Linked DNA regions of Rattus norvegicus. The protein of the gene in region 2 interacts with the protein of the main gene of each other region in a biochemical or structural test. Links are inferred from orthologs where the notes say so. Each region holds a gene or a part of one and is shown on either strand. Other genes may lie near its edges.

The links.
Region 1: the proteins of Myo18a (region 2) and Golph3 form a complex in vitro, tested with the Homo sapiens proteins (2 studies listed by IntAct). The link is inferred for Rattus norvegicus from reciprocal best matches to the Homo sapiens genes MYO18A and GOLPH3.

What each region holds. Positions count from the first base shown.
Region 1 is NC_086020.1:63,088,495-63,092,310, reverse strand, and holds part of Golph3 (Golgi phosphoprotein 3), read right to left. Parts: intron 929-3,816; coding exon 797-928; intron 1-796. UniProt on the Homo sapiens protein: Phosphatidylinositol-4-phosphate-binding protein that links Golgi membranes to the cytoskeleton and may participate in the tensile force required for vesicle budding from the Golgi.
Region 2 is NC_086028.1:63,204,299-63,208,114, reverse strand, and holds part of Myo18a (unconventional myosin-XVIIIa), read right to left. Parts: intron 3,778-3,816; coding exon of another isoform or gene 3,634-3,777; intron 1,960-3,633; coding exon 1,872-1,959; intron 1,673-1,871; coding exon 1,566-1,672; intron 1,470-1,565; coding exon 1,293-1,469; intron 993-1,292; coding exon 779-992; intron 560-778; coding exon 417-559; intron 1-416.

The DNA.
Region 1 (3,816 bases), on a different chromosome or scaffold from region 2:
GGTCATATTATTTCATGCATTATTTCTTTTCACTAACACATTAATGGCTGGCTGGCTGGCTTTCTTATAAAATGATCACTCTGGTTTTATCAGTCGGACAGTATTCAGAATAGGAAATGAGGGCACGGGCTTGTCATCTTAGAGCTCTGGAGGTGCATGTGGGAGGATCTCTAGATCAAGACCAGCATGTGTCAGCCTTGGTTAAAAAGCAAAGACTGTCTTAAAACAAAAAACAAAAGAACAATAAAACTAAACAATAACAAGATATTTGGTTCTGGCCTAATTTTTAGATTTACAAATATAATACAACTACAGAAGAAAAAATGGTTTTGAAATACCATGCCCAAAGCAAAAAACAGACTGGAAGAGAAACTGTGAACCTCTGAGATTAAGTCTGAAGATAAAAATCCAAAAACTATATCCTGTTCTACCACAAAAGTACCCACCTACACCTTCACCATAGGAAGAGGAATAAAAATCAATTCCAGTCTTCCAAAAAGATTAATGTCCTGAGTAATTCAGTTCCACAGGATTCTTTTAAAAGTCATATCAAGGTTTTCAAACTTACGACTTTTTCAGAAGCAAATAAAACTGGGTATCTCCCTAAAGCACAGTGGTCATCAATCCTAACAGTGAGTAGCATCATGTTGCATATGCAAAAAGACAGAAAAACCAAGAATGCAATCCAATAACGACAATTTTAAACTATTTAAATATTGTAAAGCTATTAGAAATATTCATCATTTAAACAGAAAACAATTCTTGTAAAGAGGGTATTATTCAGAAGTCCTCTTACCTTTCTTGTTAAAAGACTTTTTCTTCTCATTCCACAAGCCTCTAACTGTAACCTTCCTCTCAAAGCTAATTCAATTAACATACAGCCACGTAATCCAGATGATATACAGTCATTCCAAAATGATGTGTAACCCTATTTAAAAAGAACAAAGAAAACAAAACAGCTAATTTACCTTGAGTCAAAAGTAAAAATATCTTTAGCCAAAGCCACATATGTCTTCTTATAACAAAATGCTAAGATGCACTGTTAGCATGTTGTTAATCTGGGGTCTGGGGAAGGGTTGTCTTTTTAACCACATTCTTACACATGGATAAACAACGAAGTATAGAAGTCAGGCTGGGTAGGGTAGTACACACCTATAATTCTAGCACTGGGCATATGGAGTCATTCTAATGGCTCAAGAGTTCAAGGTCAGGGCTGGAGAGATGGCTCAGAGATTAAGAGTACTAACTGCCCCTACATAAAACCAGAGTGCCTAGCATCCACATGGTGGCTCAAAACTGTAACTGCAGTTCCCAGAGATCCAATGCCCTCTTCTGGGCTCCTTGGGCACTAGGCAAACACATAGTTCAGACATACATAGAAACAAAACACACATTTATATACACAAAATAAACTAACAATTTTAAATAAATAAAAATTCAGTCCAGGCATGGTGGCTCATACCTCCAGCCTTCAAGACAGCCAGCCTGTACCACATAGGGAAGGCTTCCTGGAATTCACCCAGGTTAAAGTGAGGAGCCCATATTTAAGAGGACGACTGACCACTAGAGCTCATGGACTTCACTAATGATGCAGGAACTTTAGTGCAACTCCCAAGATACCACTTTTTAAAATTATTTATTTTTATTTTATGTGCATTGGTGTTTTGGCTATATATTTACTATATCTCTCTGTGTGTGGAGTTACAGACAGTTGTGAGCTGCCATAATGGGTGCTGGAAATCAAATCCGGGTCCTATGGAAGAGCAGTCAGTGACTTCTCTCTAGTTCAAAATACCACTTTTAATAAGAGCTTTTGGCAGGAGATCATTTAAAGAAAACTAAAGGGAATAAACAAAACTAGTTTTGTCAGGCATGGTTATTAATTTCAGCACCCAGGAGGCAGAGGCAGGTAAATATCTGTGATAGATACACATGGTCTCTACACAGTGAGATCCAGGATAACCAGAAGCACATAACAAAAAGATCCTGTCTAAAAAAAGGTTTCTTTTGGGGCGACCATATGGTGGCTCATAAACATCTATAATGGGTTCTAATGCCCTCTTCTGATGTGTCTGAAGATAGCTACAGTGTACTTATAAAATTTTTAAAAAAGGTTTCTTTTTCATCAAAAAGGCCGATTTCAATGTGAAATCAAGGAAGTAGACTAGTTTTGAGATTTGCTAAAATGAAGATTGTCAGACTAAGCAATGAGTCAGAGGGAATAAGCAACCAGTCATAAAGGGAATTAAGATCTGGAATAATTAAAGATGTGGGAAGCCTGGGAATTGATTCCACATGAAGTTAAGTTACAGCTCTATGTTTCTCAGGGGCCTGAACACACAAATGTGGTTCCAACTCAAAACACCAAAATGTAGACAAAATATACACTTCATAAAGTAAAATGGGTATGGTTAGCCGTACAAGTCTGAAAATCCACCTGGACAGAGTTTAGCAGTTTATCTTTGATGACAGATAGAAGAGGGATTAAATACAAATGTCTCAACTGTTCTCATGTCATGCGTCAACCAGAGATGTGTGGGCAAAACAAGGTCTTTACTACAGAGTTCAGAGTTATATTTAGTGAAAAACTGAGTAACTCACGTGCAAAATAGATGAGGAAAAAAAGATTTAAAAAAATTTGTGCTGGGGCTGGGGGATTTAGCTCAGTGGTAGAGCACTTGCCTAGCATGGCAAGGCCCTGGGTTCGGTCCTCAGCTCCGAAGGGGGATAAAAAAATTTGTGCCACGGTTTCTGGGACTTATGAGAAACAGACAAGATAGATAAAGCAAAGAGACGCAGCAAGCAACAGAGTAGTCCAGTGTTTTGATAACCTCCTAGTAAAATTCATATCATGAGTTTACAAAAGCATGATCAAGAATTATCAGAGAGGGGTTGGGGATTTAGCTCAGTGGTAGAGCGCTTGCCTAGCAAGAGCAAGGCCCTGGCAAGGCCCTGGGTTCGGTCCCCAGCTCCGAAAAAAAAAAAGAGAGAAAAAAAAAAAAGAATTATCAGAGAAAGTTTTTGTTGTTGAGGTTTTGTTTTTAAGCTGAGGAAAACTGACCCAAAAGAACTGGTGTGTGTGTGTGTGTCTGTGTCTGTGTCTGTGTCTGTGTGTGTGTGTGTGTGTGAGAGAGAGAGAGAGAGAGACAGAGAGAGAGAGACAGAGAGAGAGAGAGAGAACTGACCAGATAACAATGCTACAGGGGATTAAGTATCTTAGAGGCAAAGTAGACCAGGACTGTACCAAGTGACTGCGATCAACGTCGGCCAGCCTGGTTCTCCAGTGAATCCATGGCAGAGTATGGTATAAACAAGTTAGCAGGGAAACTGCTGAGTCAGGAGGTAGAGAAAAACTTGGCCTTGTTTCTCTAAAAGAAATTAGTACAAGAGCCTACTAGAGGACTACATACTCACAGCATTTTTATGTGTATCCCAGCAAAAATCTCTCCTATCTAGCAAAGTCAGCCACTTTTAATAAGGTAGTTAAAATCTATGGGAAAGACTAATAAAAACTGGCAGTACCAAGCAGCTACATTTTTAGTTCAAGAGGTAGAACTAACTAGCTGTGTTTGTATACACAGCTCTGAGAGAATAAAAAATAAATAAATACATAAATAATGCATCCAGGTAGTACCCAACTCTTACTACTCCTGGAAGCAAAACAAAGCAAAAGGCTCAGTGGCTACAGATAGTGTCCTTCACCTCACTCATGGCACGGACGACATCCCCAACCTTCAATCAGAAGACCACCTCAGAACAATCTGAGGCATTATTTCAAAAGTGTGGTTTAACAAGAAAAAAAAAGTCCCTATGTTC
Region 2 (3,816 bases):
CGGTGTGCGCGCGCACACACACACACACACACACACACACACACACACACACACACACACACACACGAGTAAACAAATAGACATAGATTTTGAAAAAGAAATTTCATTCAGTGTGAAGAGAAAAGTCAGTGTGCCTGGGCCTTACGCTATCATCAAGTGTGGGCTCTCGCCTACAGAAGTCCCAAGGCCCTGGGTCTCAGAGAGTGGGCAGAGCAGGTTGGGGTTCCCAGCAATACAGTGGAGAGGGGAAAAAGAGTCGGACAGGAGACTTGGGGGGGCAGAATGGGGACAGTCTAGGCCAACACTGCCTGTGTCATGAGATTCATTTCATTATCAGAATCCCAAGTCAATGAGGCGCTGGAGAGTAAGACCCAGGGCTCCATCTTTGCTTTCGAGGCCTTGGCAGTGCCCCTTACCTGGACGGAGGCTGAAGCCACCTGGCCAGCTTGGTCAAAGTCCAGGGAGAGGATCTGGGAGAAGCGGGTGGCACTGCCGTTCATGATGGTAGGGCTGTTCCCAAAGGCTTCCAGGAGGGTGGCCAGAGCCTGCCACTTCTCCACTGCAGAGCACAGACCCAGGGGACATCAGGAAAACCAAGAACAGCTTATCCCCAAGGCATGGGCTCCAGAATGCCCCAGAAACAGCTGCCCAGGGATTGGGGTTGAGGAGTTATTCAGGGATAAGGAACCCAGGGGGAAAGAGGCAGCATCTTGGTGGATTGTTCTCCCCCCCCCCCGCCCCCACTTCTCTTGTCTGTTTTCCCTGCTGCCTGCCTCACCTGAGAACACCTTGTTCCCGCTGGTGCCGGCAATGGTAGCCAGATACTGCACCAGATGCTGAGAGCTGGTGGTCTTGCCACTGCCACTACTGCCCAGAAGGACGATGGACTGGTCCTGACGACTCATCAACATGGCCCTATATGCAGTCTGGGCTACAGCATAGATGTGGGGTGCCATGTCCTCCCGCCGACACCCCTTGAACATGTGCATCACCTAGAACAGGAGAGGCATAGAGGGAAGGAAGAGGCTCTTACGGCCGGACCCACCTGCTCTTCTCTAGGGCTTACATGTTTCCGTAATGTCGCTCTAGAGATGCCCAGGTATTTTGAGGGCCAGGCCATGCATGGAAATAGAGTCTGTAACTCTATAAGACTGCAGGATATCCCTCTGGCCCTACCCTTTGACTCCTCTACCGGGGTCAACTATGAACTCAGTGGATATAAAGAGGAAGAGTAGAGAACCAGAAAAGGTAGGATGAGGCAGGTGGGTGGGTGGGTCCAGAGGAAGGCACACCTTCTCTGAATACACAGCAGGAGCCCCTCGGGGGCTAAGGACAAGCAGGCTAGGGCCGGCATAGGTGTGTAGCAGGCTGGCCCCATAGCGCTGGCGCAGTGTATGCAGGACGCTAGACTCGTTGAGGTACACCAAGGAGGCCAGATCTTCTAGTCGGTCACATGAGGGAGCGTTAGCCTGGGAAGACAGACAGTGAAGACACCGATCTCATCTCCAACGCAGGGGACAGGCCTGCCCTCCCTGTGACCTCCCTTGCCAGAAGCTCCTTCCAACCTTCTCTACGTCATCTTCATCCACATCCAGGATGGCTCCATCGTGGTCTAGCTTCACGCGCACCTTCCCCTCGGGTAGGCTGAGCTCCTCCGACTTGAGCTGGCTGGCTGCAGAGCAGGGGTAGTTGGACTTGGGCCTGGGAGGTTCTACTACTCTACTTAGGCCTTCTTGTCCGTCCTGCTTTCTTCCCCACTGGCTCACCAGCCTCTCCTTGCTGCCGACCAGGCCTTACCAGAAGCAGAGGCATTCCCTCATGCCAGTTCTGACTCAAGTCTCACCATCTGTAGCCCATGTTCAAAGACTCACCTAAGGAGAATCCATCTCTATGGACCAGCCACACCTTCTCCGTCTCATACCAGGCCTCTTCAGCGGCAATCTGCTCTTCTGTCTTGGCCTGTCAGAGGGAAGGGAGGGACAAAAGACATTGCTTTAAAAGGTAAGAGACAAGGACAGCAAGAATGAGGAGACAAGGGAGGAAAGGGCTTCAAGTTGAGCCAATGGGCAAGTGGAAAAGTCAGGCAGGAGACACAGGACACGGGAGTGTGAGAGGGGTTAGGAAAGGAGGGTAGGAAGCCAGGAGCGCTGAGAACAAAGACAGTGAGACCAGGGACTGTAACTTTGAGGGTTCACTGTGGCCAGGGGAGAACAGATACCAGGGAAGCGAGTCACCGGGCTCCATCTCCAGCTGCCTCTTTCCTTCCTCCCTGGGAGCCTATGAGATCTGCATCCTGACTCAGCCCTGAACTCTGGCCCCAGTCATGGGTTCTTTTATGCCAAAAGAAAGGGCTCTTCTCCCGAGATGGATTCTGCATTAGGGAACAATAGAGGCCCTGGGCTCTCACCTGAAGACGCTCTATGTTGGCAAGGACATAGTGCCCTTCTCCTCCAAGTCCCCTTTGTGGACTTGGAAGGTTGTAGCTGCACAAGCCTAGTGGGCATATTAGTGTCACATGCGGTCACAGGGTGGCATGGGCACGAGACAGAGCTGACTGGTCAAAGACAGGGAGCACAGAAGTAGGAGTGAAAGGACTGGGAAGCCCCAGAGGTCAGAGATCAAAATAGACATTGATAACAGAGGTCAGAGATCACTGATCAAAACAGGCATTCATAGCAGAGATGTGGGGCTATCAGATCTGACACCCTCTAATAAGAACACCTGAACTAGGGAACAGTGGCACCAGAGGAACTGGGACCAAAAAGGGACCTTGATACAATGGCTGCAAAACGTCAGCAATGTCATGGCACCTTGGGGGAGGCTGGCCACCCCAGAAGCAGACGCCCTCAGGCTTAACACTGACTCCAACACTCTCCCCAGATGGCAACATGCAGATTCTCACCCTAGGTGTGTCCCTTTCTCATGAGACCCCAAACTGAGGCACAGACCCCATCCTATGACACTTAACCCTGGGTGAGGGATCAGAAGATGGCAAGAAACATGAAGGCAGAAATATTGTGTGATCTTTATCACGTTTCTTAGATTGAAAAGGAGGGAGATCAATAGGTTGATCATAACAAAGCTGTCAATGCTTGGTTTGTCTAAGTGAGAAAAATTTTAAATGCTGGGCTTTTAATCTTTTAATATTTAAAGGATTGAACAAGAAGTATTGGTGCAGGCCTTTGATCCCGGCACTCAGGAAACAGACGCAGGCTCTGAGTTCAAGGCCAGCCTGGTCTATATAAAAAGTCCTAGAAGAGCCGGGGTTAGAGAGAGAGACTCGCAAAAACTAAATCACCAGTGTTTTGTCTTTTCCAAATCACGTGTGAACCAAGTGAAACTTGTGTTCTGGTGACATCAAAGGGTCATGGCCTGTCTGAGAACAAGTTTCTCACACTGACCAGGAGGTGGAGACAGAGACCGTCTGTCTCATCTTCAGGCTGGGGCTAAGGGAGGAAGAAAGGTCTTTCTAGTGCTTTCCTCCAGAGAGTGATCAGGGTGGCAACATCTGGGCTCCAGTGGCTGAGAGGCAAAGCTGGGGCCATGAAGTTCCCCAAGGGCCACACCTGCACCATCTCAGCTCCCCTGGGTACCCCAATATAAAGTGGGAACCTAGAGGGAACGAGGCCTTACACTCCAGCAGGAGGCCCGAGCACAGACGCCAGCCCAGGTGTAGGGTGGGGGTGGTGGGTTGTCACTGGAGAAAGCAGAGGGCTCCTGGGTGGGGCAGGAGCACCCTACCTGGCTGTGGGCAGGAGAGGCGGCCACAGGGTCCAGCTACCAGCAGCAAGCAAAGAGAGAAAGAGAAAAAGGTGA